Drosophila melanogaster: one gene and its partners. The protein of the gene in region 1 purifies or fractionates together with the protein of each later gene. This does not show direct contact. Each region holds a gene or a part of one and is shown on either strand. Other genes may lie near its edges. The genes, in order: Fkbp14, CG8036, GstO3 and RhoGDI.

Region 1 (7,060 bases):
CAAAAGTGGAGCTCAACTTGTTGCCACAAAAACGGGAGGCGCCGCGTCGCGAAATTCTAATGAAGATGTGGAGTGCGGACCAAAGTCATTGACAAACTGTGGCTGCACGTGACCCGGGTATGGCTATGACAGGTAGACATGATGGACTCCTCCGCCAGTTGGATCCCTAACCAAGGGACAATGGAGATAAAAGGCGGCAGGCACGTGACAGGACTCCAGCTCTGGTCCTGGTCCTCATTATTGAATTAGTTACGAGTATAAAATGCAAAGGGATGAGGGCAGTTGGGGGTATATTTGTAATTGTCCGAAATATAGTAGAGTTTCTTTTATGGCCAACCAAGTAGGTTGTAATCCATTTTAATATCAATTAAGCACGTATAGTCGTATATTCGTTTTCCGTTTCCCTATGCTTGTGTGCTTAGGACAGTTTTTCATTTTGATTGGCATTTCAATAAGAAATTCCATCGACAAACCCGTCAAAAGCAGAACAAAATCTTCGTACTTATCTCTCTCTCAAGGAGCATCGCATCTTCGTTTTAAACCCATTTTTTCAGGTGCTCTGCCGGCAAAAGCTTAATTATAGCCAAGTGAAGCTGGCTTTCAGCCAGCTAATTTCCGCTGCAAGGCGGAGACTGTTTGGCCAAAAGCCGAAGCCGAAAATGGCAGAAGGAGCTGTGTTCGCAGCTTGAGGCTGAAAAGCAAGAAGTGGCTGAAAAGGATTTCTCGCACAAGGCGAACAGAAGATGGCGAATGAGGAGGACGCCTGTCGACATCCTTGACTGCACTTGACTGGCACAAAGTGCCTTGTTTGTTAGCCAACTTCGAGGGCATTTAAGCCGCAGCGCAACAGGTGGCAGGCCAGAGAGAAAAACGGCAAAGACGGGGACGCACTCTGATTGAGTTAGTTAGTTGGCCAACTCCGCCATTCCTGCCTCACAGAGACTTTGCCACGCCAAATTTAACAGCAATTGCGAAACTTTTAAGCCCCGAAAGAGACGAATTGCAACTTCCACATAATTTGCAACCAAAATTTGTCTACCAAAACTCAAGGTAAGTGAAAGGACACAACATGTCCAATGAGATGGATGGGAAAATGAAATGTTTTCCCTTTTTAGCATATGACAAAACGGGTTAAGCCGGGGCAATTTGAAATACTTGGGGTCAGTCAGACGTTTATAAAATCGTTTCCCCTGCGAGAAACACAATTTTCTGGTCGTAAAATTAAATCAAAATTTGATAACTGAGAGAGAGAGTGGTGGAGTAATGCCCTCACACTCAACGTATATTTTATTTATATGCAATCAACGGACAATATATCAGTTTAGTTAATCTAGTTGAGGTCGCTTATCGACAAGTTTTTGCCCCAGCTGATATTTATAAAACACTGATAATGAGTTTTACCGCTTGCCAAACGGTTACACAAAGATTTTTTGTTTGCCTGGTGGCAAACAACCCACTTTGGGGTGTTAATTAGCCGCACATGTGAAATAATTTGGTTATCCTTTAAATTTAATTGGTTTTTTGTATGGCTATCTGGGCTGGGAGCTCAAGTTTCGCTGTGGCTTTTATTTACAGGATTTATTACAAGAAAGTCAAAGGTTGAATATGAGAAAGAATATTTGAGATAAGAAAATAAGTAGCGCCTTATCATTTTCTTTAATTGAAACTACTGCTTAAGAGCTAACTATAGTTTGAAAACAAATTGTTTATGGGTAATATTTTTAAATGGTTTTTAAGAATCTTATTTGTACCGGAAAACGATTTCTTTGCTTAATGAAGCCAAAAATTGAGGGCCGCGTCACTATAAACGCCCATAACCCACAGAAAAATGAAACAAAAAGCGGGAAAATGGGTTTGAGTTTGAGTTTGGGTTGCAGGAAGAAGGGGGGCATTCAGGCATGGAAAATGCACCAGCAGCACAAGCAAAAAACAACAACAACAGCGTCAGCGACAATGCAACAATGAGATCGCTTATCAGTTGGCGTCTAATTTACGGCAATGAGCCGCCGCGACGACAGACTGACTATGCAGCACCAGCAGCTTTAATCCCATACGGAAAACACATGTATCTGCGAGTATGTTAATCTGCATCTCCAATGGATGCGTGTGTGTGGAGATTACGGACAGCATCGGCTTTAAAAATATTTCATCCTGAACTCTCTGACATTCTGCCGAAGTTTTTGGGGCAATGTGAAATAATCACTTTAGCATGGGATTTAGCTTAGTTCATTGATAACAAAGTGTGCCTATTTTAGTTTTGTACACTTTAAGATCACTCACCTCGAGTCGAATTTCTTGCCATCGGCCTGCAGAGTTCCAGTGTAGTGCATGGTGAGGGAATCGCCGTTCTTGGACTTTTGTTCGCACACCTCCGGCGTGCTGATCACCTCCACTTTCAGATCCTGAGCCCGGACCAGGCTGTTGCTGATGGCCACCAGCAGAAGGCACGAGATAACGAGATTGGATTTCGACATGGCTGCAAGATAAATGGGCAAACTTGATTACCACAAAACGTAAGAGACTTTCAAAAAAAGGGGAACGTGTTTATGCACTCGACTACAAGGAGTATAGTAAACCTTATAAAGAGTTTAAGATTTGCTAATCCTTAAAATTAACTGAGTTCGAACTACAGACGATAAGATCCACTAACTCGAAACTAAACCGAAGCACCAATGTCTTGCTCGGATTGATGTTCATCACTTTTATACACACAGATTCATCATCACTATCATCTACTCGCCATCATCTTCGTTTTAATCGCGTATTAGCGTTGCACAAGCGTTAAATGATGAATTTAAGCCAATTACCCGGAGAGGTGTAACAGTTGTTTGCTCAACAGTGTAAAGTTGAAATTGAAATCGTATGGATGGCGAGGGGTATTCGCAGCGATTGCGAATGGGATGCGCGAACAGCAAAAATTAGTCATTATGCAAATGTGCAATTCATTTTCGAGTGGGGAACCGAATTCGACCAACCAACCAGCTTTGACCATCTCGACCAGCTGGAGGGGATTATGCAAGCCAAGACCCAAAGCCAAGCGAAATTATTGCGCGTACGCGGTGGCGTATGCGTAATGACCATCGTAGTCATTTCCAATGGGATATGTTGGTGGGTGTTTCTGGTTAAATGAAAGTTTTGAAAGCGCCTAGGTCACCCAAATATAAAAAAAAAGAAGCGAAAAAAATTCGAATAGCCGTAAAATAAAAAAACTAATAAGGCAAACAAAAAATAAAATATGGTGGGTCTTTATATAGTCGGAAAACTTTCACTAATGGAAAGGCAATGGTCAAGCCTCAATTACGTGAAATCGGCATTAACATCTCTTGATCTTCCTCTTCAACTGCTCTCTTTCGCTTCTGCTTCTTTTTCCTTATACAGTGAAATCTCAGAGACATGAACACACATATGCCTTACTTTTTTGCTTAAGCTTGAAAATGATTAATTACACTAATAAGTTCATATGCTATGATATGCAATTGTTACAGTTAAGACCAAGCTGAAGCCAGAAAATCCACAGATTTAGGGACTAGAAATACTTCAAATACTATAAATAGATAAGACGAGATGGCCTCCTGTGGCTAATAATCCTAAAATCACATTTTCAAATATATTTCAAAATCTTTTTTTTCAGAAGCCGCTTCACTGTACTGAGCGTCCACTTTTTGGCCTTAAAACCTGTTGGGCGATCCAGCTTCTTCGTTTACACACGTATCTTTTTGTTTCAGCTTTTTTTTTGTGTGTCTTTTATGAAAGGTTCAGTGAACTGGCGGTACGAAGTTTACCGTAAGCGATCCAATTTACAGACCGGCGCTAAATGTTTCGGAAAATCTTTTCCTAAGCGACACGTCAGGAGTTTTCCTCTTATTTCGAATCAGAAATGCTAATTGCTGACCCGAGCCGATCTTTAGCAACAAAAGCAAGAGCAAATGACCGGCGATATTTTTTTATTTTTATTTTCATGGACTTGTAGCGATAAGCTCTCTTTCTCCTCCTCCATCATTCGGTTTTCTTGGGGCGTATGTGTGTGTATATATATTTATTTGTGTATGCATGTGTGATGGCGTGGACTGAATATGAATGGAAGAGACACGACAGCAATGGCAAAGTACACGCTTTCTTTCGATTTCTCGATTTTCATTTCTTAATGAGCACATTTCCAAGATGTTTACGCTAAGCCAAGCACACGATTTACGATCTGATATCTGTAATATACCTTTGGTCTTCCACAGACGGATATCACTCGATTCCGGCGAAGGGGCGGGGGCGGATGCGGCGGGCGAACAACAGAAAACACGCGAGCAAACGGCGGATGTGAAGTGCAAACACGTCCGATTCGATCGAAGTGCGGGCGAGAAATGCTGGAACCGAAGCCGCCGACGTTGTTTTACTAACCGCTACTTCTACACTCAGAAACATTTTTGTGGCACTTTGCAAGTTAGACCAGATTATTTTGTAGTTTAGTTTAAAATCTTATTTATATATATTGCATTCCTCCAAGTTTTTCATAAGATTATAGTTTTTTTTGTATTTCAATGTTTTTTTCATTATATTCCCTATCTTTTTTTTGGGTGCACCCCTATATAAAAAGAGTGGAAATCTTCAGAGAGACCCGGAAAGTGTGAGCGGGAGGAGGCGGGGGATCGTGATCCACCACCATCCACACGTGTAAGAGTACGAGAGAGAGTGAAAGATCGTGTTTTTGTAGAGCCAAAAGAGATTCACATACTGTGGGAACGCGATCCACAATACGGGGGGCAGAATAAGAGAGAGCACTTGTCCACGTAATCAAGCAGAAACTTGTTCAGGAGCGGATCAGGCGGACTTAGGTTAAGACACAATCAAAGGTGTTCCTTATCCCAAATAAATTAGTTAATATGTAAGATTAATTTTTTAAAATTTAACTTTAAATTTATGATTAATCAGAACTTACAGGAACAATGTAATACCGAAATGTATTCCAAAAAGTTATTCATTTTTTATTAAGCTAATAATCGTTTTGAAAAATGTAACAAAAACGAAAAATATATGGAACACGAAGGACACACAACCTATTCAAGCAATTGCTCAAGTTTAACTAAAAGGAGTTTCCAAAGAATATGCCGTAGTCTACATGTTGCTGGCATCAAAGTTTAAGCAACATTATGCCTCGCCTACTTTTTCTAGTGCGCAGGCGCCTCTTTTATTTTATTTGTGGGTGGAGCCTGATAAAGAGTTAATTTAATGATTGGCGAATTAAATTCGGCAAAATTATGTGACATTTTCTTTTGTTTTCATACTCTAATTTAATTTATTACAGTTTATTTTTAAACCGTGCTTGATAATTTTGTACACTGGTAGATTAATACGATACGATATAATGAAAACGATTAATATTAAGTGTGCACATATGTTGTCAAAATCAATTTAAAAATTTTTTAATTCCCAATAAATTTTTGGAGCTGAGCTTCAGCATTGTATCTGTGAATATGCCAATGTTCCCGTCAATAGCATTCAATAGTTCGCTGCATTTAGTTCAAGATAATCTTTTCCAACTAAAAGCTTTGGATGCTCAGCTCAACCGAGCTTAGCTTAAACTAAACTAAGCATATATTCTATCTATGGCCACTCCTATGGAATTGTCACCCTTGGCTCGTTTACGCCCCACTGAGCGCCGACGAGCGATAGATAGATCGAATCAATCAATTAAATGCAAACTGCCCAAATTAATTGAAAATCAGTCGAAATCTGAGGCACTCTCTAAACGGTCGTGTGGCGTGTTGGAAAAAAAAGGGCGAAATATAATGCTGCACGGCGATCAAGATAAGCCCAAAATGGCAAAACGATCTGTGGGATACGCCCTCAAACGCAGGAATGATCGTTTTGTGGTCGAGCCCATCGAGGGAATCGTGAATCCAGCCTACGAACCCGATCTTGGTGGAGATACATCCTCAACCAGTGACATCAATCGAAAATGGCAAGTATAACAAGCAATAAAGTTTTCGGGATGGGCTAATGTGAAGTGTGTGTTGTGTTATTCAAATTATTGCAATCGAATAAAAAATAAAAAACATTTAATATTGTTGGCAGAAATCTAAATTCTAAATCTACTTACTTCTATTTAATATACTTTATAATCTGCTATTTATTTTTGTTAAATTTAAATTAAGGTTAACAACTCTAACTTAAGCTAGAAACCCTTTACGTGTTTAACCTTGGGCCTCTTAGCTGGCGGGGCACAGGGATAGTCCTCGATGATAGTATTCTGGCCGGGCAGCAAGATAGAATACTCGCGGCCAAATTCAACAGGCGATTCCTTTTTGGGACTCAAAAGGCGCTCTCCGATGTCCTGATCGGAATTAAGGGCTGGAATGACTGAATAGTTCGCTGTAGTGGCGCCATATAGCTTTGGTAGACTTGTACCGGGAACCATGTCGGGATTTCCCTCGGTCACCTCGTCCTCAGTGGGTACCACTGTCTGACTGGGCAATTGTTCCAACCAATTGGCCATGCGTTGTTCAGGTTCCAGCTCCTTCCCCTTTATACGCTCATCGAACATTTCTCTTGTTACGTCTCGTGTGGTGTCGTACTCCTCCATATCCCACACGTCCAGCAAACGGGTCGACATCATGTCCGTGTAGTGGGACAGCTTGTAAGCGGATTTCTGCCAGGGACCGCGACTGATGCTCTTCTGCTTTTTAACATTTCTCTTACTGGCAGCTTTCCTTTTGGGTTGCCGTTTTGGTTTCACCTTGGTTTTTTTCTTAGGCGTTTTCTTACCACCTTTCTTGGATTCCGAAGGTTCTTCCTTTACCTTTTCAGAGGCTGGGCTTTCATCTTCTGAAACATCAGTATCTTCTATGCCATAGTCAATTTCGATTTCCTCTACGATTAAAGGTTTTTCTTCAGGTTTTGATCTTTTGGCACCATCTCGAAAGATGTCTCTTATCTCTGGTATCGACTGGACTTGTGTGCAGCGGATGTTCTCGCGTTGGACGCGCTCATTAACGGCATTGGCAAGGTAGCGAATGGCTTCCGTTGTATGAGTTCCGGTTCTGATCTGCTGGACATGCTCCTCTTCATC
Region 2 (10,362 bases), on another chromosome or scaffold:
TAACACATTCTTCGCCCCAGCCAGTTGATTATAGATTTTTCCACGGACTGCGCAGTCGGTCAGCTGTTCACGCTTTTCATTAAAGCTATTTTTATACATGTTCCTGTTCCCTCTATTTGCCTATTGTTAGCTTTATTTGTTACATATGCTTACATGGGGGTAATTAATGTAATTGCATCTGTCGTGAATCTTACTCACGATTTTCATTCCGTTCATTAGCATAGTTTTGATCGGTTTGGCGGCACCTTATCAAGAAATTTGTTATACAACTTTCTTCGGCAACGTTTGTCAGATTAGATAGGGGTTTTCTGAATTAAGCCAATGATGACGTATCTAGTGCAATGCCCTGAAAAACTCACGGGTTTGCGGGCTAACGATCACGTAGTCTTAGTTATGGGACTGAAAAATTTATTATTTTTCCAGTTTTCCACATTGTTTCACTTCACATGTACTAATTACGCCCCTAAATTATCTAATATAGGTCAGTTCTTATCTTTTTTATACTAGAAAGTTAAATGTTAAGCTTTGCCTACTTATCTGAGATGTTCCTATTTAAACACTTCTATTTCACAGATAGAACTTGGCGCCAACTGGATACACGGCGTTCTGGGCAATCCCATCTTTGAGCTGGCCGTACAACATGGTCTAGTCAGCGTGGTCAACGTACCGAAACCGCACAAGGTGGTGGCCACCACGGAGGACGGGCACCAGGTGCCTTTTAACATACTTCAGGAGATCTACGAGGCGTACGTCTGCTTTCTGAGGCGGTGCGATGAGTATTTCCTGTGTCAGTACAGCCCGCCGCCGGATATACACAGCGTGGGAGAGCACATTAACTATGAGATCGAAATCTATCTGAGCGGGGTCCAGGATCCCAAGGAAAAACGCCTCAAGCAATCCATATTTAACTGCCTGCTCAAGCGAGAGACCTGCATTACCGGCTGCAACAACATGGACGAGGTGGATCTCCTCGAACTTGGTAAGGCTAAGCTAAAAATAAAGTATATACAATATGAATATATATTTTATTTTAGGCAGCTACACTGAGCTACAAGGAGGCAATATAGTGTTGCCAACTGGTTATAGCTCTATTCTGCGACCGCTGGGTGCTCAGATAGCCAAGCAGTCCATACTGACCAAATGCCCGGTGAAGAAAATCCACTGGAAGCGGAAAAAGACCTTCACTGGGCTGGAGACAGTCGACGAGAACTCGGAGGACGAGCATTCAGACGACTCTGAACGAACGGTGACGGAAGTGCCGACGGGGGAAATTCGTGGCGCCTCCGTGGAGTCCAACACCAGCAGCAATTGTGATTATCCTGCAGGCAACGTGCGCATAGATTGCGAGGACGGTCGAGTGTTCCATGCAGCCCATGTGATATGCACCATACCGCTAGGCGTACTGAAAAACACCCATCGCACTCTCTTCGATCCTGTGCTGCCGCAGTACAAACAGGAGTCCATCGAGAATCTCATGTTCGGCACCGTGGACAAGATCTTCTTGGAGTACGAGCGACCATTCCTCAGTGCCGATATATCAGAGATTATGCTATTGTGGGACGACGATAAGCGGGATATGAACAGCTCCGAGGAGGAGCTGGCCAGCGAAGCGTATCTCAGCAAGAATTGGTTCAAGAAGATATATTCGTTTGCCAAGGTGACGGACACGCTGCTCTTGGGCTGGGTCTCGGGCCGGGAGGCGGAGTACATGGAGAAGCTCGACCATGAGGCAGTGGCTGAAAAGTGTACGGAAATACTTAGGAACTTTCTGCAGGATCCTTACGTGCCCAAGCCAAAGCGATGTGTTTGGTAAGGCAAAGAAACATTATTTGGTTAAGAATGTTGTATATTAAAGAAAAATCTATTTGTAGTACCAGTTGGAAGTCGCAGGACTTCACCGGTGGCGCATACACCTCAATACCGGTGGGCGCAACTCAGGAGGACATCGAGAACCTCGCCCAGCCCCTCTATGCCACGCCCCAAGCCATGAAGGTCAGTTCTACAAGCTTGCTTCCCCGGCAATTGTTCACATTTTAATATATTTCCCCAGCCCGCCATAGTCTTTGCCGGAGAGCACACCCATTCCAGTTTCTACTCTACCGTACACGGCGCCTATTTGAGCGGACGGACGGCAGCGCAGCATTTGCTGGCGAGCGATGAGCCAGACGAAATCATCATGGAGTCGGACGGCAGTGATCTGAGCGCCTGGATACAGGGCATTGCCCTGGACTGAGTCTAAGCTAATCAACGACCACTCATCGATTTTGTATTATAATTTATTAACGTTATTTTGTACACTCTTTAAACGCTTTTTAGCTAGTGATATTTAATTTGTTCGATTGTAATTTATTTTGCTAGCGTCGTAAAACGATTTAACTCATTTTTGTACATCCCTTGTGAGCATTTGTTTTATTTTGTTGATGCAATTATTTTGTAATTTATTTGGAACCCGCTTGTACATTACTATAAATAAAAGTTACGAATTAGCTGAGCTGATCAATGTGCTGCCAACTCGAACAGACCGTGCACCCGCAGCAGCTTTCACTGTACTTGGACGAAAAAGTGTGCACAAAGACATAATGTTGTTTAGACCTAATTACCGATTAGCAACCATAAGTGTATGAATACAAATATATTGCCTATTTTTATAAATTCGTATTTAACGTAGAAAAGGTTGCACCAAAAGGTTGACACTAAGACGATCGAACAATGAGTGCAACTAATGTATATTTGAAAGTAACTATTGTTAACGTTAACTATTTTGCTAACTAAATTATGCATTGGTTGACTCTTTAAGGCGGAAAAGGAAAAGTTGGTATTCATAAGTCCGTTCTAACACTTGGATCTGCATATTTATTTGTATTTGTGACAAAAATATCGACTTGTACGCATAAATAAATAAATTAAATAAATAAATTATTGAATGAAAATGTATAATTTTAAATAGTAAAACACAAGTCGAAGAAAGTTTTGATTTTTTAACGATGGGGAGAGATCTGTATTATAAAAATCAAGTTGTGCTTTTGGTTTTAGGCCAACAAAAGTCTATAATTCAAAACATATGTAGATATCCTAAATTATTTGAAAGTCTTTCGCATTGCACTCGTAAATTTTTTGTGGATACATTTACTCGAACTTAGCTAAGGTGTGGTAAAAAAGCTAATAAGGATAAGGTAGGTGGAAATGAAAAGGATTGACTAAGCTGAATTCAAGAATGCATTAAAAATGGCTTGTAAAAAATTCGACAAAAAATCCTTCGAGCCGGATTTGAACCAGCGACCTATGGATTTCTATTGCATGTTTTCCAACTACAGTCCACCGCTCTACCAACTGAGCTATCGAAGGGGGCGTGCTGGGGAGTAGGTTAAACAACGGGTATCCGATTCATCGCGACTCTTCAATAAACTTTTGTTGGTAATCGGTTTAATTAATGCGTATTTTAGCTTTTAATGGATTGAGGTCACGGACAGCATATGCCATGTCGTTCAAATACCTTTTCTTTTGATTGTTGCTAAGCTAAAATTAAATAATATATTGATGTACGCGTAAAGTAAGACATGTTCATTTTCACGTGTTTTTAAAATTGATATTCTTCAAATTATTATTCATTTTATATAACATTGTGTTTATAAAATGTCTTTTGCATCTACATGTTTATAATTGCATACTATTTTATATATTTTTTATGGGGTACGGGTGCTACTATAAAAACAAAAACGAATTGGATATTACAAAAAATTACAAAAAATCCTTCGAGCCGGATTTGAACCAGCGACCTATGGATTTCTATTGCATAATTTTCCAACTACAGTCCACCGCTCTACCAACTGAGCTATCGAAGGTTGAGTTCAAACTTGGCCGTTGTTCGTTTTATGCATGCGCACAAACGAAATGCACCGTATTTGGTTATTTATTTTTGATTTTTACTTATTTAGGTCAAACAAAATTGATCAACTTTCTCTATTCAGTCCATTGCAGTAAGCCTATAGTTTCCAAGCCTAATAGCCTAGGCGCTTTTCACAAACTATATCAATTTAGTTACGGTTTATTTCTTCCAAATAAAATCCTTCTTATATTATTTAGTTTAAACAGCTCAGTTATATTCTGAATGTCTGTAGATGAATTAAATTGATTTAAATTGTGCACTACAAAATATATAAAAAAAAAGGTATGTGCACTACAAAATATATAAAAAAAAGGTATTTATATCTTTTCGATCCTTCGAGCCGGATTTGAACCAGCGACCTATGGATTTCTATTGCATGTTTTTCCAACTACAGTCCACCGCTCTACCAACTGAGCTATCGAAGGTTAAATTCGCTTGCGGCTAATTCACCTTTTGTTCAGGAGCGAGGTGGGGAAAGTGACAAAAAGAGAGGGCACTTCTCTTAAACACCGCTGCTCTTTAATACTCGCGGCCAGAAAAATAGGACCTTAAATTCTTGTAAACTTATATTAAATACTAAAGCATTGTAAATCTTAATGAGAAAATATTCAGGTACAACTGTTCATGGCTTAATTTTAGACCAAAATTGTGCATGAATTTAGAAAGGCAGCAATGCACTATTTGAAACTAACTAGTTACCCACCCACAGCTGTGCACCGATAAAGGGGTGGTGTGCGAGCAAAGATGCCATATTTATACATATATCCATCTCGTTCCAGCGCCGACGATAGACGATACCGATACTTTGCGAGTCCGCTCCCAAGATTGAGCCCCCACAGCGTAAAAGCGACCGAAGTGCCGGCGACGAGAGCAGTTCGTTCCCAGAAGCCGGCAGCAGTGGTCCGTTGATAACTCCGACTCGAGCTACTTATCCACCACGTCGATACTCTTGTCTGTCTATTGCAAACATAGAGGAGTCACCCTTTGGCTAACGAATCCGAAACTCCCGAGTTTTGTTGTGCAACATATCAAAAACCGCATTTGTTCGGATCCAATTTACATTCGCATTTCAAAGATGTCGTACCACAAGCCCGAAGCTAAGACCGTCCAGGATCTGAAAGATCTGGCCCAGAAACTGCGAATTCACTCTATCAACGCCACCCAGGCCTCCAAATCGGGGTAAGTTTATCAATAACTGAAAGTCCATAGGCATATTAAAGTGTGCGTATTTAGATTTGTTTGTGTAGATGTGAATTTTAAAAGTTGTGCACCTTGCACTTGTTGCTTCAAAGGTGACCCCCTCCATTTCCAGGGTGGGTGCGAAAAAGTTTTTGAGGGGGCTGCTAAATACATACATACATATGTATGTGTTTTGAAACATTACAAAAGAAAATAAAACAAAAATAGTTACGCATATACATAGTTATGCATCTATGTTTGTATGAATGTGAGAAGTAAAATATGGGAAGACCGGTTCCTTTAGTGACCCCTCCTGGGATTCAGTTGCCAACCCACGTGTTGTCCAGTAGCTTTAGTGAATTTGCGAATTTGTTGCCCTGCCTGCGTGCTCAGTGATAAGCCGCGTTCACCTACCTTAAATTGTGAGCTAATATTTTTTGACCTTAGACAACCTTGAAACGTTAGGTTTTTCTTACTGCCTTTTAATTTCTTTTGCTTTTGTTTTGTGCGTGGCGTTCAAAACGCCGAAAGCACATACATATGTACATGGGGTAAAAACAAACATACTTACATATCAAACAGAGGCATTTAATATACGTATGTACATATGTACATACAAGTGTTGGAAAGCACAGCTTGTGACGGGAGTGGAATTGGAAAGAGAGGGATGAGAATAGTAATGGAATGATCCCCTACACTTGAGATTTACGACTGTATGGCTTTTAATGTAATTATATCTCGGATAGACGCGATCAAATTATTACTGCAACAGTAAATAAAAAAGTTACTATGCTGATAAGGAAAACACTTTTATCGCCTCCATTAGTTTTTCCATTCTGTTTCGTTTTTTTTTTTTTTTGTGACGGTTCAAGATAAGATCTGCTCTGTTTGCTCTAAATGTGACCTCTGCCGACGAGATAAGCCCGGTTTGGTTACTCATTGACCACGATATGACCGATTAGAGGTGACCAGCTCAAGTGTGTTCCCCGCATGATAATCGAAAATCACTGAAAACTGATAAAAAAAAAAAAAGCGCGCCGGGTCACTGCTAACACTCCGTATCACCTTCAATAGTTCTTGATATGGCTGCAGGAAACGGGGACGCACTTCGGAACTATCTAGAAGCACGTGCGTTCACAAAGATCGCCATGCAACACAATCGTGGAAGCCAAGAATTTGGTTTTTAAGGCTATTATTTAGGTTTTTTGGTGATCAGAAAAGTTCAAGGTCCCAGAAACCGGTGAGGAATTGCGATGGACTCACGTCGCGACAAACACACATATCACACCATATAACGCCAATAAATACATATGCATGTACTCGTTATAGTTTATTTATATGTCTGGGGTAAGACGAGCCCCCCATTTTGTCTGGGGTTGCGTGTTTTCTTTGCGGTTGGAGTTGTGCCAGATCTGCGATTCAAAGCAATTTTTTTTGGAACACGATCGCATGGGAACATTGAATTCCAAGAATGGATCTTATCTTATTTATATGTACATTGCAATTGGATACTCGAGAAATCTTCATTTGAAATATGAACAGAGGGGGGGGGGGGGGTTTAAATAAAAGCTTCAATAGACAAATGGATTTCTTTTATTAAACAACGTTTTTAACAAGTATGCACAGTGTTCAGTTCCACTTTTCCTTTGTTGATCGGCCTTCACTTACCCACCGTGAGGTCGACTTCTATAATTCATTAGGCACTTACCTTAACCTAGAACTACATGCAAACGAAATGCCTTGTCACAATCTAATATTTTGCCTACTTTTCCCTCTTTATAGCCATCCCACATCATGTGCCTCGATCGCTGAGATCATGTCCGTGCTGTTCTTCCAGCAGCTGCGCCTGAACCTGAAGCACCCACGCGATCCCTCCAGCGATCGCTTCATCCTGTCCAAAGGACACGCTGCTCCCATTCTGTATGCCGCCTGGGCTGAGGCTGGTCTCTTCCCCATCGCGGATCTGAACAACCTGCGCAAGATCGACAGCGATCTGGAGGGTCACCCGACGCCTCGTCTGAACTTCATCGATGTGGGCACTGGATCCCTGGGACAGGGTGTCGCCGTCGGCGCTGGCATGGCCTATGTGGGCAAGAACTTCGACAAGGCCGACTACCGCACCTACGTGGTGGTGGGTGATGGTGAGTCCGCCGAGGGTTCCATCTGGGAGTCGCTGCACTTTGCCGGCCACTATAAACTGGACAACCTTTGCGTGATCTTTGATGTGAACCGCTTGGGCCAGTCGGAGGCCACCTCCCTGCAGCATAAGCTGGATGTTTACCGTGATCGTCTGGAGGCCTTCGGCTTTAATGCCGTCGTTGTCGATGGTCATGATGTCGAGGAATTGAGCAAGGCTTTCCATTGTGCTGCAATCACCAAGAACAAGCCCACCGCCATCATTGCAAAGACGTTCAAGGGCAGGGACTTCCCCAACATCGAGGATTTGGACAACTGGCACGGCAAGCCACTGGGCGACAAGGCCGCCGAAGTGGTGAAGCATCTGGAGGGACTGATTGTCAACAAGAACGTCAAGCTGACCCCTAAGCCGGTGCCCAAGACTGGTGCTGCTCCCGACGTGGACATCAACAACATTAAGTTGAGCTCGCCACCCGCCTACAAGCTGGGTGATTCCATTGCCACCCGTTTGGCCTATGGAACAGCTCTGGCCAAGATTGGCCAGAACAACCTGCGTGTTGTTGCCCTAGACGGAGACACCAAGAACTCAACTTTCTCCGACAAGCTGAAGAACCTCGACCCGCAGCGCTACATTGAGTGCTTCATCGCTGAGCAGAATCTTGTGGGAGTGGCCGTTGGAGCCGCCTGCCGTCGCCGCACTGTGGCCTTTGTGTCCACCTTTGCCACCTTCTTCACCCGTGCCTTCGATCAGATCCGTATGGGCGCCATCTCGCAGACGAACGTTAACTTTGTGGGCTCCCACTGCGGCTGCAGTATCGGTGAGGATGGTCCTTCGCAGATGGGTCTGGAGGACATTGCCATGTTCCGCACCATTCCGGGCAGCACCATCTTCTATCCCTCCGATGCAGTGAGCACGGAGCGTGCCGTCGAACTGGCCGCCAACACCAAGGGTGTCTGCTTCATCCGTACGTCCCGTCCCAACACCTGTGTGATCTACGACAACGAGGAACCCTTCACCATTGGCCGCGGCAAGGTGGTGCGCCAAAAGAGCTCCGACGAGGTGCTTCTGATCGGAGCTGGAATCACTTTGTACGAGTGCCTGGCTGCCGCCGATCAGCTGGAGAAGAACTGCATCACCGTCCGTGTGATCGATCCGTTCACCGTGAAGCCATTGGACGCCGAGCTGATCATCGAGCACGGCAAGCAGTGCGGAGGACGCGTAGTCGTCGTGGAGGATCACTACCAGTAAGTGTTCTTTGTAGTCTTTTTATTTGCCTCCTTTGCTAACTTGAAATTTACTTAATTTCTTATAGGCAAGGAGGCCTGGGTGAAGCTGTGCTGAGTGCCCTGGCTGGCGAGCGCAACTTCGTTGTCAAGCACTTGTACGTGCCCACCGTGCCACGTTCGGGTCCTCCGTCGGTACTCATCGATATGTTCGGCATCTCCGCACGTCACGTCGTCAACGCCGTTAACGAGATCCTCAAGGATTAGGGGACCAGTCGTGATCTGGCTACATTCATTTACCGCCTACAGGAATTCCCCCAGTTACTACTTACTTCCAATATTACCATTCCCTCTAAGATTGTTAATTGCTTCATTGATTTGAACCTTACATCATGGAAATAAAATATCTTTAATAAAAATAGTTAAGCCGAACTATATACCTTATTTACATATTATATTACTTATTTACTATATTACTTATTACATGTTAAGCATGCCTTTAAAATGGCTGGACGATTTCATTGCGTTTGCCTTTGGTTTGCTTTAGACTTGCTTTGGTTTGTTTTTAGTTTGCTGTGGTTTTGCTTTGGTTTATCTCTGGATTTGCTATGCGCTTGATGTTGATTTGACATAGATACTGAAATAAAGATAAGATGAGAAAATGAATAAAATTATAAATTTTTTAAATTTAAGCATACTGCATACTTTTTTAATTTACAAATTTTTAATATTTTTCTAAAAAAAATCGGAGCTTAAAACTAACAAGTTGGCAGTACCCTTCCAATTATAAAGGGTTATCGATAACTCTGCTGTAGCTATCGGTGCTGCCAGCTGATTATAGTGCGGCATGATTATCTAAACATCAATTTGTTTCAGCCGATCCCGAAAACTATTCAAAATGAACTTAAGCACAAGAGTTATGCTGAATAGGTTGACACAGCAGTGTGTCTACAAGCGGATTGGTAAGGAGAGACGTTTTATCTTGTGCCACACATTCAGGAAACGTATTTTCAGTGACCTTCTCCACCAAAACTGCGGAACATGTAATTGAAAATCAGGAGGAACAGAAGAAAGAGGCTCCGCCAACCACGCCGACTTCACCGGTGAACCGGAAGACAATCATTCCGGCCAATTATCGGTTTGTTTACCCAGAATTCCTGCCCGATCCGAAGGTGGAGTGGCGCAACCTCGTGCGCGAGAAGCTGGAGCGACTGGACATGCTGGATCGCCGCAAACAGATCGACCTGCCCGAGTTCTACGTTGGATCTGTGCTTGCGGTGACAAGTTCGGATCCCCATGCCGCTGGCAAAACCAGTCGATTTGTGGGTATCTGTATCAATAGGGATCGCTGTGGACTGCGCGCCCGTTTCATTCTTCGCAACGTGATTGATCACCAGGGAATGGAGGTGGTCTACGAGCTGTATGATCCTACCATCCTAAAGATCGAGGTGTTGCGGCTAGAGAAGCGACTGGATGACAGTCTTTTCTACCTGCGGGACGCTCTTCCGGAGTACAGTACTTTTGATGAGAACATGGAGGCCGAGCCGCTCGAGGAGGGTGCTCCGGTGCCGGTGAACGACATTAAGGTGGTGCTCCGTCCGCGTCCATGGCTGGAGCGCTGGGAACGACAGAATCTGCGTGGTGTGGCCAACATCGATGAGTATCTAAAAGACAAGCATCGCCTGTCGGCGGCCAAGGTGCAGAAACCATGGGAGAAGTACGACATGATGAAGGACTACCGCAGCTCGATTCCCGAGGAGGAGCAGACGGAGATCTTCGCCGAGGTGCACACGGAACTGCACGCCCTGGAGCTGCAGCGAAAACGCAACAAGCGCAAGCGCACTTTCATTAAGCCCAAGCAGCTGGCGTAATTGCATTTGTTGTTCATTTTTTAGAATAAAAATATCGAAAAAATGTTGTTTTATAGTTTTCCACGA
Region 3 (6,054 bases), on another chromosome or scaffold:
GCAAGTTGGGCATTTCCGTCAACAAGGAGGTGGCCATCGATCCGGAGGACAAATGCTGTTTCGCGGCACCCGGTCAGTTGGAGTCGCAGTCTCACCCACCACCACCAACCACCACAACGACAACAGTAGGAGGAGGAGGAGGATCAGTTGGAGGTTCAGGTGCCCCGCCATCGCAGCCCATTTCCATTTGCACGGAGGTGGGCTGCAGCAGTTGTCCCCTGACCGCCGGACCAGGTGCTGACCAAGCGGAGACCACGCTGCGGCGGACAGAGTACGAGGAGCAGGCACTTCGTGAGCGGAACGAGGTGGGCCTGGTCTTCGAGCGACGTCTGAGGAGGGAGAGCGCATGCGAAAGATGTGAGTAAGAGTACTCAGCACAGCTGCTAATGATGACTAATCCCATGTTTTATTCCCCTCAGCTCGGGACTACTATGAAGCACCACACTTTGAGCACGTGGTATCCTCTCGCCTGGCAGCCACACCTCCGCCACCACCACAGCAGGCACCACCATCACATCCGCCGACCCTTCGACATCCGCACAACTTCCTCACCATCAAACAGGAGCCGACCGACTGGAGCAACAACCCACCAAACGCCTCCAGTGCGTCCAACAACAACAATCTGGAGGAGTTGCCATTGGCTTCGCCCAAGCAGCCACTCGACTTCAAGATGTCCGCCGTGAAGCTGGAGGTGAATAGGGATCGCGGAACACCCTCCGAGGAGAGCGAGGAGCACACGCTGCGCGACTATAACAACTTCAAGCAGCTGCTGGTCTGCGAGATCTGTCAGAAGTCCTTCGAGGACACCAAAATGCTGGTCCGTCACCTGGGCACACATGCCGGCGATCCCACGGGCGGCACGGAGAGGAATCTCCTGCCATCCAGTGCCAGCGGGAGCACCACATCCGCCTCCAGCAACCTCGCCCTGCGATCTGTTAAAACCTATGTGCCAAAGAAACGACGTCGCGTTTCGGTGAGTACTTGGACAGCAACTCATCCCTTTAATAAATCCAAATCTACTGAAGTATGATTTTAACTCGTAGTGATGATCGGTTACCAATATCTATTGGATGTATTAAAACCAGATTATATATTGTGTTTTTCAGCAACAGGAGAACAATATGGATCACGATCACGTAACTCTGCTCTGCGATTTGTGTTCCACGTAAGTGTTTGGAGTTATAGAAGCAAAATATATACTAACTCCCTTTCCCATGTGCAGATCCTTTGATACGCCGGCGGAGTGGGTGCGCCACATGAACAGCCAGCACACGGAGATCGAGTTGGCCATGTTCAACAGCAAGAAGGATGGCGAGCAGAAGGGGTGTGTGTCCTAAGGGCTAGCAAAAGCACACTGATGAACTCTGTTCACTTGCAGCCAGCAGCCACCGCCACCGCCGGCGACCAGCAGCTCTTCCACAGTGTCCAACAGCCAAATGCAGCCAAAGTATCCCAGCTCCACCGCCACCAGATCGACGCACTCCCTCATGCTGCACAAGATGAGCAACAGCGATGCAGTGGCCACAACCACATCTCCTGGAGCATCCACCTCACCGAATGGCTAAGGCCAGCCATAGGGATCAACTTCAAAGAACCATTGGACCATTGGCGAATGAAGCTGAAGGATTCGAAACCGGATGCCCATGGATAAATTTGAAAACAGCCATATTCTTCATTCATTTTCAAAAATCTCAAGTCGTTCCAATAATCAAAAGTGAGATGGATGTTTATATGCAACAGCAAGAACCGTGATCAAAATGCAACCAGTTTGCATATTTTATAGAGCAACAAACAAAATACAAATTGCGAACAAAAAAAAATTAACGAAACTATAAACGAAACTTAGAATGGAAATCGTCAGGCAACGATGCAAAACAAGACAAAGCAAGAAATTCAGAAACGAAAGCAAAGCAACATTTAACTCCAGTGTGTAGAATTTTTTTAAGTGTACGTATTTACTTAGTTTTAGCTATTTATCCCATGTATTTACCGTAACAACAACGCGCAATTGATTCGGGAAAAAAAACGATACAGTTTAATCATTAAATTTTAATGTTTACCATTTGCGGACATTTTTAAAATGAATTAAAAACTAAAAATTAATCATCCACTTGAGTTTTCAAAAGGATGCATCAAAAGAAATCCCATTTGTAGGACCAAAAGCAGCGAAAGGATCTTTTTACATTTTGATAAACAATTAATTCCAGCAGCAAGTGTAGTTGTCATTATTTATTACTTTCCAATTTGGTTTTTCGAATGCAATTACTGATAACAACTATTTATCGCGACTCAATGATGTCAGCAACTCTGTTGTATATGTATTAATACTTTTTTGTATTTTTTGTAAGGCATGAACGGAAATTTCGAGAACTTTTTTGTACATAGATTAAGTTTGATTTCGAAAGTCCGCCGATCGAAACTTTTTACGAAAAGTTCATAAACTTAAAACTCTAAATGTACGTAGTAGTTCCGAGGTTCAATTAAAAACAAAAATAAAGCTCCCCCCAAACCATGTAAAAACAAAATATATCTATATTTACAAACAGGCGTGATTATTAACAAACTAAGTAGATGTACTATGTATAATGCGGAGGAAATGATTGTCTCTTCCCACAAAACAAATCGCAAATGTAGTAAAGCGTTTTAAATCGAAATAAACGTCTGCGATGAGAAATCGTTTTTAAAAGCTAACGAAAACTAAGAGTCACGTCGCAAAAAGCTCGATTATTCTTATTCGCGTTAAAACACAAACAAAAAACTTTATATAAACAGAGCGCCGTCGAAGAGAAAACTCAGTTCGCATTTCACCGTCGACATTTCAACAGTTAAGCGAATTTGTTCAGTTCTGCAATTAAACAAAATGAGTTCTGGTAAACATTTGGCCAAAGGTAAGAGAGCAAGCAAAACCAGTTGTCGCCGCCGCCAAGAGAAACGCCCATGTCATTAGAGTGTTTATAGTATTATTTATAAAACAAGTTCTCCAACATTCAGCGTAATTATCGAATAACGATTTTTATATTTCATAATGTTAAAGAATATTGGCATGAATAACTGGGATTTTTTGGTTAAAAAGTTAGAAAGGTATATTATTTGGTAAATTTCAATACGATCTTTATTCTTTTACAATTGTAGGTAATGCATTAAATTAATTATTTGATTTGTAAAATTTACTTACATTTTTAGCTATAGCTTTCACCCCGATATCAGATAACCCATAATATTTACACTCTAAAAGATAACGTAGCTACAAAATTTGAGCTTTATCACGACTGGGCCCTATCAACATTAACTTAAGTGCAATGACTTGCTAAACAAATAATAATACAGGGGTGGATTTTAGGGTTCCACAAGTGACTCATGAAGTTATTGATTTATTTGTATAACCTAAATTTAACTGGTAAATAAATTCTATCTTTAGGTTCCCCCAAGCCTGTACTCCCTGACGATGGAGTCCTTCGCCTGTACTCCATGAGGTTCTGTCCCTACGCTCAGCGGGCTCATCTCGTCCTGAACGCCAAGAATGTGCCCTATCACAGTGTCTACATCAATCTCACCGAGAAACCAGAGTGGCTGGTGGAAGTGAGTCCGTTGCTTAAGGTGCCTGCCCTGCAGCTGGTGGCGGAGAAGGGTGAGCCCTCGCTCATCGAGTCGCTGATTATTGCCGAGTATCTGGACGATAAGTACCCGGAGAATCCGTTGCTGCCCAAGGACCCATTGAAGCGGGCACAGGACAAGATTCTGCTGGAACGTTTCAGCAGCATCACCAGTGCCTTCATAAACATCCTTGTGCAGGGCACCGGTCTGGAGGATTACTGGACGGCACTTGATATCTTTGAGGAGGAGTTGACCAAGCGGGGCACCCCATATTTTGGCGGCAACAAGCCGGGATTCGTGGACTACATGATCTGGCCCTGGTTCGAACGCCTCTCTGTAATCGAGTTGAAGTTGCAGAAGGAGTACAACTTCAACGAGAGTCGTTTCCCGAAGATCACCAAGTGGATTGCCCTCCTGAAGGCGGACTCGGTGGTGCAGTCCTTCTATGCCACTCCCGAGCAGCACAACGAGTTCTGGCGCACCCGCAAGGCCGGCAATGCAAACTACGATCTGCTGGCTTAGATCGGTACTGAAAATGAAACTATTATATAACAAAGGAGATTTAATAATGTTCTAAAAACAATAAAAACTAAAATATTTTATGTGACAAAGAAATGAATTAAGGCTAGAAAGGCAAGAATTCCGTTCCAGATTCACAGAACGTGGTTCGAAAAACTTAGTTCTTAAAAAGTTTTGTTTTAAACAAATATTTTGGAGCAATATGCAGGTTGCAAGGGGGCTTCACTGTATCCACATGGCTTGGTATGTGTGTCAGCCGCAAGCCACCAAGTTCAGCCGCGTAAGCGAAGCCAACCGGCGAAGGGCAGTGAGCTGCACTTTATAAATCACTCGAATGACAATCGCTATCACCACTTGCATCTCTGGACCCGAGCACGCACATCATGAGTAACGGCAGGCATTTGGCAAAAGGTGGGTAGAGCCAGGAAACCAGGATAATCATAATTGATAATAAATGCGCCCACTAGGCTCACCCATGCCGGATGTTCCCGAAGATGGTATCCTTCGCCTGTACTCGATGCGCTTCTGCCCATTTGCCCAACGGGTGCATCTGGTCCTGGACGCCAAGCAGATCCCGTATCACAGCATCTACATTAATCTCACAGACAAGCCGGAGTGGCTGCTGGAGAAGAATCCACAGGGCAAGGTGCCGGCTCTAGAAATCGTGCGAGAACCTGGACCACCTGTGCTCACAGAGTCGCTACTGATTTGTGAATATCTGGACGAGCAGTATCCATTGCGACCACTCTATCCACGTGATCCGCTGAAGAAAGTGCAGGACAAGTTACTAATCGAGCGATTTAGAGCGGTGTTAGGTGCCTTCTTCAAGGCATCCGATGGCGGTGATCTGGAGCCCTTCTGGAGCGGCCTGGACATCTACGAAAGGGAGCTGGCTCGACGTGGTACGGAATTCTTTGGTGGCGAGCAGACGGGCATTCTGGACTATATGATTTGGCCCTGGTGTGAGCGCCTCGAGCTCCTTAAGTTGCAGCGTGGAGAGGATTATAACTACGATCAGAGTCGCTTCCCCCAGCTGGTGAGCAGGTCCGTGTATCCCAGGAGTGATGAAGTACATTAGTATACCATTTTTCAGACCCTTTGGCTGGAACGCATGAAACGAGATCCGGCTGTGATGGCCTTCTACATGGAGGCCGAGGTTCAGGCGGAGTTCCTGCGTACACGGAGCCTGGGTCGACCCAATTACAATCTGCTGGTCAAGGATGCCTGATGCACTTGGTTTATTGAATTTTTCGCATGGAATGAATAAAACATAAATGCAGTCCATAACCGGTTCCAAAGATTTGATCTTGTCTAAACCAGTTGTCGTTCTATGGTGTACCCTTGAAGGCAATGTCGTACTGGGGATTTCCAAGGGTCTTCGATTTCTGGAACTCAGCATGCAACTGGACATCCAAAGCTGTCTTCTGCACAACCTCATCCTGGGTCATCAAATCGCGCCACTTGAGCTGTAATGGATTTTTGATGAGATACATGCATCATCTTATGTTGGATTACTTAAACATACCAGCTTCTCAAATCGTTTTGTATCCAGCTCATACTTTTGCTCCGTATTGATCTTCATGCTGGGAAAACGTTCGAACCAAGGCCAAATCATGTAGTCCACGATTCCAATGTGCTGGCCGGCAAAGTAGGGCGTTCCTCTTTTGCCCAACTCCACTTCAAAAACATCCAAGGCATTCTCGAAGTTCGGTATGGCATCTTTCGGAGCGTTGGGATTACAAGTCAGCACAGGATAAATGGCACTGACCACTGGAGCAAAACGTTCGATTAGAATCTTGTCCAGCGCCTTCTGAAGCGGATCCGTGGGAAAGAGTCGCGTCTGGGGATATTGCTGGTCCAAGTACTCTGCTATGATGAGCGACTCCACGAGGGTCGGTTGGTCCTTCACCCCAGTAAGCTGCAGGGCTGGCACTTTGCCCA
Region 4 (8,714 bases), on another chromosome or scaffold:
AATCAAGACTATTTTTTTTTTTGGTTTGCTAAGAAAACAATTTATTTGATGTATTATAGCAAATACTTACACAATTTTATTAGCAGAAAAGTTATTTGCTGCAAAATAAATGAAGTAAAGATCGTTAGAAGTATTTTAGAATTCCATTTAAACAAACTTGCAGATTGAGTCACTTGTGCAAATGATATTCACATGGATTTTTGGACATTAATGGCAGCAAAATCACTAGAACAACTTTTTTTTTTAAATGCTAGTAGCAAAATAATTGTGACTTACGGCGACGATTTGTTTTAAGGGCATTTAGAATTGCATATATAAGCGGTTAAAAAGAAAGGACAAGAGCAACTTAATTGATAAGCATTTAAGGCAACGACTACGTATAACTAATTTGGTAGGCACCTCGTCTGAAAGTACTTCTCATCGACGAAGCGACAGAACTCGACCAAGTGCTGGAACTTCTGCACCGTTTGGGCCAGCGCCATGTTCGGCAGCGTGGTGGTCAGAATGCTGAAGAGGTGGCCGAAGGCGATGGCGTCCAGTTCGCAGGGCTGATCGCCGTAGAAGAATGGCGTTTCCGGCGACTCTTTCAGCTTGTATTCGAGCGTCTCACAGCACTTGGCCACCTTGTCAATGACGCTATCGATGTCCAGGTCGTCCCACTGATAGACCTTCAACAGACGCAGCGCGTTCCGCCGCTTTCCATAGTTCTGCATGTGATTGAGGGGCCAGGGAAAAACGACTCCGTTCCTGGGCGCTGTGACCTCTTTGTAGACGCGTTCGTTCTTGAAGCTAATGTACAGCTCAGCCATGGTGAAGATGTTCTCCACCAGCGACACATAGGTGCGCATGTCGGCCTTCTCGTCCTCGTCCTGCCAGCTGCCAATGGCCAGTTCCTTCTGCTCCACAAAGTTCACGATCGGCTCGAATTCGGCAAAGATGAATGCTCCTGCGCGGATGAAGGGCAACTTGGTCATCCTGCCGCCCGGCGACATGTGCTCCGCGTTGGCACAGGACCGAATCAAAAAGGGGAGGTTGCACATCTTCAGGTAAGCCTTCACAGCAAGGCAACTGGCGTTTTCCGGCAGTAGGATCTGTTCCGCTTCATACGGCTGTTTTTTTTAATGCACATTAATGAAAGGTTAATGTTAGTGAAGATTCTGGACCTATAAACCAGGACCTTACCTGGTAGAGGGTGGCGTCTTCGGGCCAGGGCTCGGCGGACAATTTGTCGGCCGTTATTAGCTGGCTCAGGTACTGGGATGTCATTGTAAATTAACGGAGTAAATTGTGTTTTTCAACTTGCACACCGAAATCGCCGATGAAGTAACAAGCAGCTGTTTGTCGGCGTTGCCAGACTGTTGCAGACAATGACCAAACAGCGATTCTTATTAGAAATTGCATTTCAGCAAGATTCGTTAAACTAATTAATAATTTCTTTTTAAACCCATACTTACAAAGTATAAAATAGATTTAGGGGAAGCTGTTTCAAAACTAAAAACTTTTTCGAAAAGCAAGTATTTTTGGACAGCAGTGTGAACGGATGACTTCTTCAAGTCCATCTCGCGTTTTGGTATTCTGTCCACCAAAGCATACGTTCACACTTGTAATTCTTATTTTATATTATTTGCTTTGTTTAAAAGTTAGTTATCAAAAGTTGTTAAAAATATAACATACAGTTACTTTTCAGTGATTAATTTTCAGAGATCGTACTATTTGATTAATTTCGCATATTAAAAGGTGAGTGCGCGTCGTTGCCAACTTGCAACTGTGTGTGTGTGTGAGTGCGGTGCCTTCCAATGCATTTTACATAAAAAAAATATTTATAATATTATTATATTAATTTAATACAAGCTGGCATTGATAGCAAATGTATGTAGTTGGGTGACTGCAGGCCAAGAACCACTCCCAAAAATTCTACTTGAAAATCAGTGACGATTCATGTGCCGGCCTCAGTGTGAGTGTGTGTGTGTGTGAGCTGGTGTGTGTGATTCATTCGTCTGGGGTTTTAACATTCTTCGTGCACATTTCTTTATCAAAAAAAGAGAAGAAAAAAAAGTGGCATGGTTCGTACTTTTCCCTGAATTATCCCCACACTTTGTCTTTGGCGGGGGGTCCTCTCTCTCTCTCTCTCTCTCTCTCTCTCTGGCAAGCCCTCTCGCTTGCACTTCCTTCGACGCTGGCACATTTGTTTGGAATTCAAATTTTCAGTTCGGTCAGATTGTTCTTGAAATTACCTTTTCTCACCCATCCTTAATTGTTGCGATTGTATTTATTGGCCCAAACTTGCGTTGTTAGTCCGAAAATTTTTTGTTTATTATTTTTTGCCATTCCCACACAAGCACGGAGAGAAATTGTGAGTGCTTTTCATATGCCTAATTTGGAAATATTACGATGAGATCTAAAAACCGATACTAAGATTCAAACTATTGATTTTTAAGCACCAATAATATTTACATTTACAAGTAAAAAACAGATAGATAGATAGATAAATATTTATTAGCTTTGAGAATTTCAAAATATGTTTTGTATAAAATTGAGAAATACATCATTATTACTACTGTATGTACACATGGGCCTGCAAAATCGTTTTGTATAGACACAATTTTATTACCTCAACAACAACTCGATGTCAAGTAATAACAATTCAATTTCATGTATTTTTTTTGCCCGGGTACACTGCATATGTATGTACATATATATAAAGCCAAATCTGGAGAATCGAGAATTATTATTGGCCCAACAACATTCGTTGAAAATGGACAGAGAGCTGGCGACGTGTATTTAGATAGTGGAAAACAAAGCAAGATAACAATAAAGCCATTTTCCGGGGGGCGGTGGGTTTGGCTTTTTGTCGCCAGTTCCCAGTTCTGGTCAATATTATTCAATGCCGATATCCGCTCTCTCTCCCTCCGTCGAGTTCGCCTGCCTTATCTAACTGCCGCTCCGTATTTGGTTGAACCTTTTTTTTTACTTTGCGAGCGGACCAGCTGCAGGTCGAGCGCCCCTCTCTGCCCCGCCCCCTAGACAGAGAACACGTCAGTTCATCAATGCGTTAATAATTGAAATTTAATCAATATTATTGAACGGGCTTATGAAGTGGCTACATTTGTTCGCAACGGAGGCACTCGTGTTGCCAAAAAAGTAAATAAACCCGCTTTATGGCCAGCGAATGATAACGTAATCAGTAGCGAAGTATATGGAATATGTTTGCGATCGTTGTTATTTGAATTTCAATATTTAACATTGTAATTTGTAGAAACAAATGTACTAACTACTCAACTATATATTTAGATGGCAGGTTTTTTTTTCGAATTTCTTCCCTGCATTGTTAAGTTATGAGCTCAACTCTCCTTAGGGCGACAATTTTCAGAAGAAAAAACACTCTTCCTACATTTTTTGAATGAGGAATACTTTCATACACTCCGATACGATGTAGCAGATATGGTGGCGCACATGCCATTAAAATGGAGGCATATACATATGTGTATAAAACAACATCATTATCGTCAAAATGTTACTCACACTACTAAAAATATGCCTATGACCCACAAGCTTCACCCAGAGAAACCGACGCATACTAAGCAAAATCCGAAGCAATATTTAAATGTAATTGATTGATAAACAAACAATTGCCTTTGGACAGTTCTAGGTTAGCAATCATGGCCGAAACAGAGACGAAGCACCATCCCGAGCACCACGACGACGATGTCCACGATGCCAACTACCAGGCGCCGCCGGAGAAGACCATCGAGGAAATAATGGCCGCCGATCAGGAGGATGAGAGCTTGCGGCGCTACAAGGAGGCGCTCCTGGGTGCCGCCCAGACCGAGAAAATTATTGTTGGTAAGGGGCGGTTAACTTGGCCTCTGAAAGTGGAGGGTGCAGAATATACTAAAGCAATAACATTTTTACCCAGAACCCAATGATCCCCGAAAAGTTATTGTAAAGAAACTGGCCCTCGTTGTCGAAGGACGCGACGACATGGAATTGGATCTTACCGGTGACCTTAGTCAGCTGAAAAAGCAGGTAAATATCATTAACCATCATCATCCATTCGACTACTTTTGTTAATCAAAACCCTATTGCGACAGCTTTTTGTGATCAAAGAAGGTGTTCAGTACAAGGTGCGCATTGATTTTATTGTGCAGCGTGAAATAGTCCATGGCCTTAAGTATGTTCAAAAGACTTCTCGCTTGGGTGTTAATGGTGAGTATTTAAACATGACATTTGTATTTTTAATTGGCAGAATATAGAATAGATTTACACTCTCAATTCTATCAACATTATATGTCTTTACTTAGGGCAAAGCAATTATATTTCTTTTTTGTCCTACCCTAATTTTCTATTAATTGATTTATTTATTTACTGACCTAGTGCCCTAGTATTGTAAGAATAAAATTAAATTAAAACCGGGTCAAAAGATACTTGTTTTTAGTTATTTTCCATACGTTACACTATGCGAGCACTTCTAGGTCTTCAATTTTCCGTGCTGACGCGAAATCGTTAGTATTACACCTCAGTTTTTGATTGACTTTTGTGCGGGCTAGTCGAGTTTTGTTTCTAGCAATGGGTAAAAGCTGGTTCAATGGCACAACCATACTGGTGGGATTTTGCAGTGCTGCCTATATCCTTTTTTTCACAATTGCCATACTAACTTTAGTCATGTGTTGAGAATAACTTGTATTCCATTATCTCCAATGCCAAACCCTAATTTCGGAATGTATAATTTTTTAAGTTGTGGGTAAGCTGGTGCAGCCCATCCGCAAATGTGTATCCTTACTAAACTGACTGTTTTCGCATTACTCCATAGTTGACAAGATGAAGCATATGGTTGGCTCCTATCCGCCGAAGAAGGAGATTCAGTTCTATTTGACGCCCGCCGAGGAGGCACCTTCAGGCACATTCTCCCGCGGCACCTACTCGGTCAGTTCGGTCTTCACGGATGACGACAAGCACATACACCTGGAGTGGGACTGGACCTTTGAGATCAAAAAGGACTGGGCCTAATTGGCACACCGAACAGCACACAACAAACACACACGACACACAACTTACAACATACATCATACGCTTTTTGTTTTCCCTCAAACATGCCTTGTAAATGAGTTTAGTTTTGTTCCAAAAGTGTAAGCGAATTTTTCCAAAAGTGTAATTGATCGTCAAGTATTTTTGTTAACGGTATTAAATTTTAAATATTTTTGTAACTAAAGTGTAATGTAAAGCCATGATAAGTATTTTTGATACCCTATTTGCAATTGGAATGTGTGCAGATGAAGAGCATTTTTCGCCTAAGTCCTCCTCAATGAGAGTCAAGTCAAAACCAAGTCAAGTCACTAGGCCAGTCAGTCAGTCAGTCAGCCAACCAGTCAGTCAGACAGTCAGTCGTTTGGTTCTTAATGCCATTGCCTATGTTTAACATACATTTTCAAACAGATTAACAATTGAGTAATTAACTTTAAGAAAGTTGTTTGCATTTCGCTGTGTATTTCAAATTGAAGAATGGAATAGTTTATTGTAAGAACAAGTCGCCTCAAAACTAAAAAGAAACCGATTAAAATCGTGCAACACGAACTGTTAAATGCAACTAAAGCTGATGCTTTATTATGCATTTGAAGTTTGTGCAACATGGAGTTACTTAAATCCACATTATTCTAACTATATATCTCTGTGTATTTTTTGTGTACAACATACCATATATGCGAAAGCTGATTGAATGCAACCGAAGAGCAATAAAGAATAAAGGATACATATTTTAAAATAAATGCCTAAGTGAGCGAATTCTTTTTCCATGATATGGGTATCCCATAAATTATAGTGGCAGTGTGTGCACAGATTTCTCCGTAGCCAAAGATAAGTTGACTTCACACTTTATAATGCTTATCAGCTTACATTGCCAAGGGGCAAACGTCATAAATTGTGGCCAGCAGAGCGAGTATTACTCATCCGCCCTGTGAACGGTCACCAAATATTTTTCAAGGTGTACAAAAGAGAGAATTTGTGAAACACACTTCTCTGTTTACATTCGCAACCAGCAACAAGTGGCCAGCCTCTTGTTGCGCCAGACATTAGCAGCATGTTGCCCAACAATCGCCGCTTCAGAACAGAAAATAATAATAACCGCATTTTATATTCCAACGCACATTTGTCTTCAGAGTCGCGAAAACCTGCATGAATAAGCAAGTTACTTTTTCGGAAATTGCTATAGTTGCCAGCAGAAAAATGGTGTAATTTAAGAAAAACAAATCATTTGTGTTTTCGGTAAATGGCCTGGGGCATTCGTATGTTTTTTGGGGTCCTTTAAGGGTGCGATTTTCCAGGATGTGGAACAAAACAATCAGAAAAATAAGTACACACTGTTTTCATTACGTGAGAAGTAATTACAGGTAAGCAACTAACAAAAACTTACATGTATACATAAGAGAAGTCTTGCTTGTTTCGCCATTTTCATATATTTCCTCATAGCAAAAAATTATATATACTATATCTTTTAATTCACTCAAATGGTTTAGCAGATATATGTCTTTTGGTATGGCCGTTCAGCTCGACTACTCTTAACATTACCTTTGAAATACCAATATTTTTGCATCAAACAGGAACGTCTATCTCTGTCCGTCGAGGATGTTTTGATTGACAGACGGCCCGTCGAATTTCAGCCTTCAATCGCATTGTTCAATCCGACATTCCAACATTCCGCACTCCCCATTGTGTGGCAATGTGGCCTTTTGGCCCAATGCTGCCAATTGTCCCGCCGCTGCACCTTTATGGTCCATTGCATCCGGGCTGGGGCTCAATGAAATTTGCAGCAAAGCTGCTGAGCCAATGGAAAAAACAGGAGCCGTCCAGAATGCGGATAATAAAGTAGAAATGAAATGCAATCAAAGAGCAGGCCAGAAAGCGCAACAGGCAAAGTGCTCACACAGCACACGCAAGCGGAAATGCGAATGGTGGCCATTTTGTCCCCGTGTAGGTAGGCAGTGCTGCTAACGGTACCTTGTTGTTATTTTACACTGAGAGAAATGAATGCTCGCTTAAATCAAATTGTTGAATATTACTATATTCATTATTCATTATGTCTTATGTAATAATACTTATGATATTTAGAAAGAAACTTCATTTGGTTTATTCAAGTGTAAAACCTTTTATATTTTTTAACATTTTTTTAAATAAATAAATTTTGTATTTTTTTTCGAATTCATCCCCATCACTAGCACTAGGATTATTGGCATCTGTTCCACTGGAAAAGCCATGAAATGCAGCTGATGTCAAGCCGCACAGGCATCGCTGTAAAAATGCATATTTAATCTCTACAAATGGCTATATGTATGCACAGCTTTTATAGCCGCTAATGGGATTTATGTGTTTGCATTTATGCAATTTGCCCATTGGCATGATTTTAAAAAATATATATTTAACTGTTTTACATATTCTTATCCTGTTTCTCCTGGTTAACAAGATTTAATAATTTTCACACAGCAAACGGCAAAACGGACAACACAGCATTTGTCCACAAAATATGGCATATACATATGTATATAGTAGTCAAATGTGGCAAAATTAAACTTCCTTTGTTCGAAATTCAATTAATTTCATTTTAGATCTCATGTATGGGCATGCACCTTTATTGAATACCTTTTTGCTTCTATGGCAAGTTTTTGCTAAGCCCATTTAAGCATAATTAAATCCAACAAAGATTTGGCAACTTTTCGGTTTCTGCTGGCCTCTAATTTCATATGCGGGTCAGCACACGGAGCAACGTGCGAAACTTTCATCCTGTTCCCAGCCAAAAGGGGCCAACGTAGCGTATGATGAATTTTATTGCACACTCGCAGTGGGCTGTCTGTGGAAAATATATAGAAAGCACCAAGGGGGGCGGCTATTGTTTTTATTATTACGTTTTCTTCTTATGTCTATATAAACCTGTTAGTTATCAGTCCCAAATTAGTGGTTGAATAAGGTGTTCTGAAAATTGTGGTTTAATTAAGTGTTGTGTTTTTGTTAGCTTGAAACCGCACTAATTATATTTCATTTAAATTTTGTTTAAAAAACCTACTTCTTACTTTTATTACGTCACATGCTCCTCCCCCTCGCCAGGCAAGTGTAATAAAAAAGTTTCTATGGCTTTAATACTTTTCGTGGCTTTAAGTGAGCACACGCAAGTTGGCAAGTTGGTTTAAAGGGGAGTGTCGAACACGTCAGAAAACTCTGGAGTTAGTCATCAGATTTGTGCGTGGCCGACAGGACATAAAACCAAACTCAAACCCCCCACCACAATTGGCATATATTTTTTTCCAAAGCTCTGCGTTTTTCGCCACCGGACAGCGAAAATAATTTGCGTATATATTGAATTTGTTGTTTTTTTTTTAGTTGATGCTTTTTTTCTGATGGAGATTCGCTGCAAAGTTGGCCAGGAAATTGCATGATTTCTGAATATATTTATTCGAACGGGCTTGCGGTGGTTAGCTCATTTACATTTTGGCATTGATTTTTGATATTGGCCATCCAAGTTTGTTGCTCCAAATGTTAAATATAGCAATATATTATTTTTGAGCATGGCATTCAACAAATCCCTTAATAAATCTACCCTGCAATGGAGTGAAATGAATGAAAATTGGCGGCCTTTTCTTAAAGTACTGAATGCCCAAGTAGCTGGTGTTCATTATGGTTTATGGCGTTTACCCGGAATTTGTAATATAAGTTCAAGCAATTTAACCCTT

What was found.
Region 2: the proteins of Fkbp14 (region 1) and CG8036 purify together in Drosophila melanogaster (affinity purification with mass spectrometry, with the first as the bait; one large-scale study listed by BioGRID). This does not show direct contact.
Region 3: the proteins of Fkbp14 (region 1) and GstO3 purify together in Drosophila melanogaster (affinity purification with mass spectrometry, with the first as the bait; one large-scale study listed by BioGRID). This does not show direct contact.
Region 4: the proteins of Fkbp14 (region 1) and RhoGDI purify together in Drosophila melanogaster (affinity purification with mass spectrometry, with the first as the bait; one large-scale study listed by BioGRID). This does not show direct contact.

The regions. Positions count from the first base shown.
Region 1 is NT_033778.4:21,492,851-21,499,910, forward strand, and holds the start of Fkbp14 (FK506-binding protein 14), read right to left. Parts: upstream 4,361-7,060; 5' UTR 4,214-4,360; intron 3,925-4,213; exon of another isoform or gene 3,783-3,924; intron 2,675-3,782; exon of another isoform or gene 2,477-2,674; 5' UTR 2,475-2,476; coding exon 2,281-2,474; intron 1-2,280. Other genes in the region: CG46395 (uncharacterized protein), read left to right, coding at 5,781-5,963; TAF1C-like (TATA box-binding protein-associated factor RNA polymerase I subunit C-like), read right to left, coding at 6,167-7,060.
Region 2 is NT_033777.3:8,664,864-8,675,225, forward strand, and holds CG8036 (uncharacterized protein), read left to right. Parts: upstream 1-3,004; 5' UTR 3,005-3,173; intron 3,174-3,252; exon of another isoform or gene 3,253-3,345; intron 3,346-3,748; exon of another isoform or gene 3,749-3,842; intron 3,843-4,217; exon of another isoform or gene 4,218-4,311; intron 4,312-4,665; 5' UTR 4,666-4,961; coding exon 4,962-5,065; intron 5,066-5,636; exon of another isoform or gene 5,637-6,042; intron 6,043-6,847; coding exon 6,848-8,446; intron 8,447-8,514; coding exon 8,515-8,692; 3' UTR 8,693-8,839; downstream 8,840-10,362. Other genes in the region: CG8032 (uncharacterized protein), read left to right, coding at 574-979, 1,035-1,809, 1,872-1,992, 2,051-2,233; mRpL19 (mitochondrial ribosomal protein L19), read left to right, coding at 9,324-9,387, 9,440-10,296.
Region 3 is NT_037436.4:8,516,094-8,522,147, forward strand, and holds GstO3 (glutathione S transferase O3), read left to right. Parts: upstream 1-2,791; 5' UTR 2,792-2,860; coding exon 2,861-2,888; intron 2,889-3,418; coding exon 3,419-4,116; 3' UTR 4,117-4,202; downstream 4,203-6,054. Other genes in the region: CG6765 (uncharacterized protein), read left to right, coding at 1-357, 420-973, 1,107-1,165, 1,223-1,324, 1,379-1,565; se (sepia), read left to right, coding at 4,497-4,524, 4,581-5,149, 5,207-5,341; GstO2 (glutathione S transferase O2), read right to left, coding at 5,442-5,579, 5,639-6,054.
Region 4 is NT_037436.4:19,927,172-19,935,885, forward strand, and holds RhoGDI (RhoGDI), read left to right. Parts: upstream 1-1,571; 5' UTR 1,572-1,737; intron 1,738-3,643; 5' UTR 3,644-3,659; coding exon 3,660-3,843; intron 3,844-3,916; coding exon 3,917-4,026; intron 4,027-4,091; coding exon 4,092-4,206; intron 4,207-4,519; exon of another isoform or gene 4,520-4,566; coding exon of another isoform or gene 4,567-4,671; exon of another isoform or gene 4,672-4,741; intron 4,742-4,810; coding exon 4,811-5,007; 3' UTR 5,008-5,759; downstream 5,760-8,714. Other genes in the region: CG8004 (uncharacterized protein), read right to left, coding at 384-1,109, 1,183-1,266; CG46462 (uncharacterized protein), read left to right, coding at 4,567-4,671.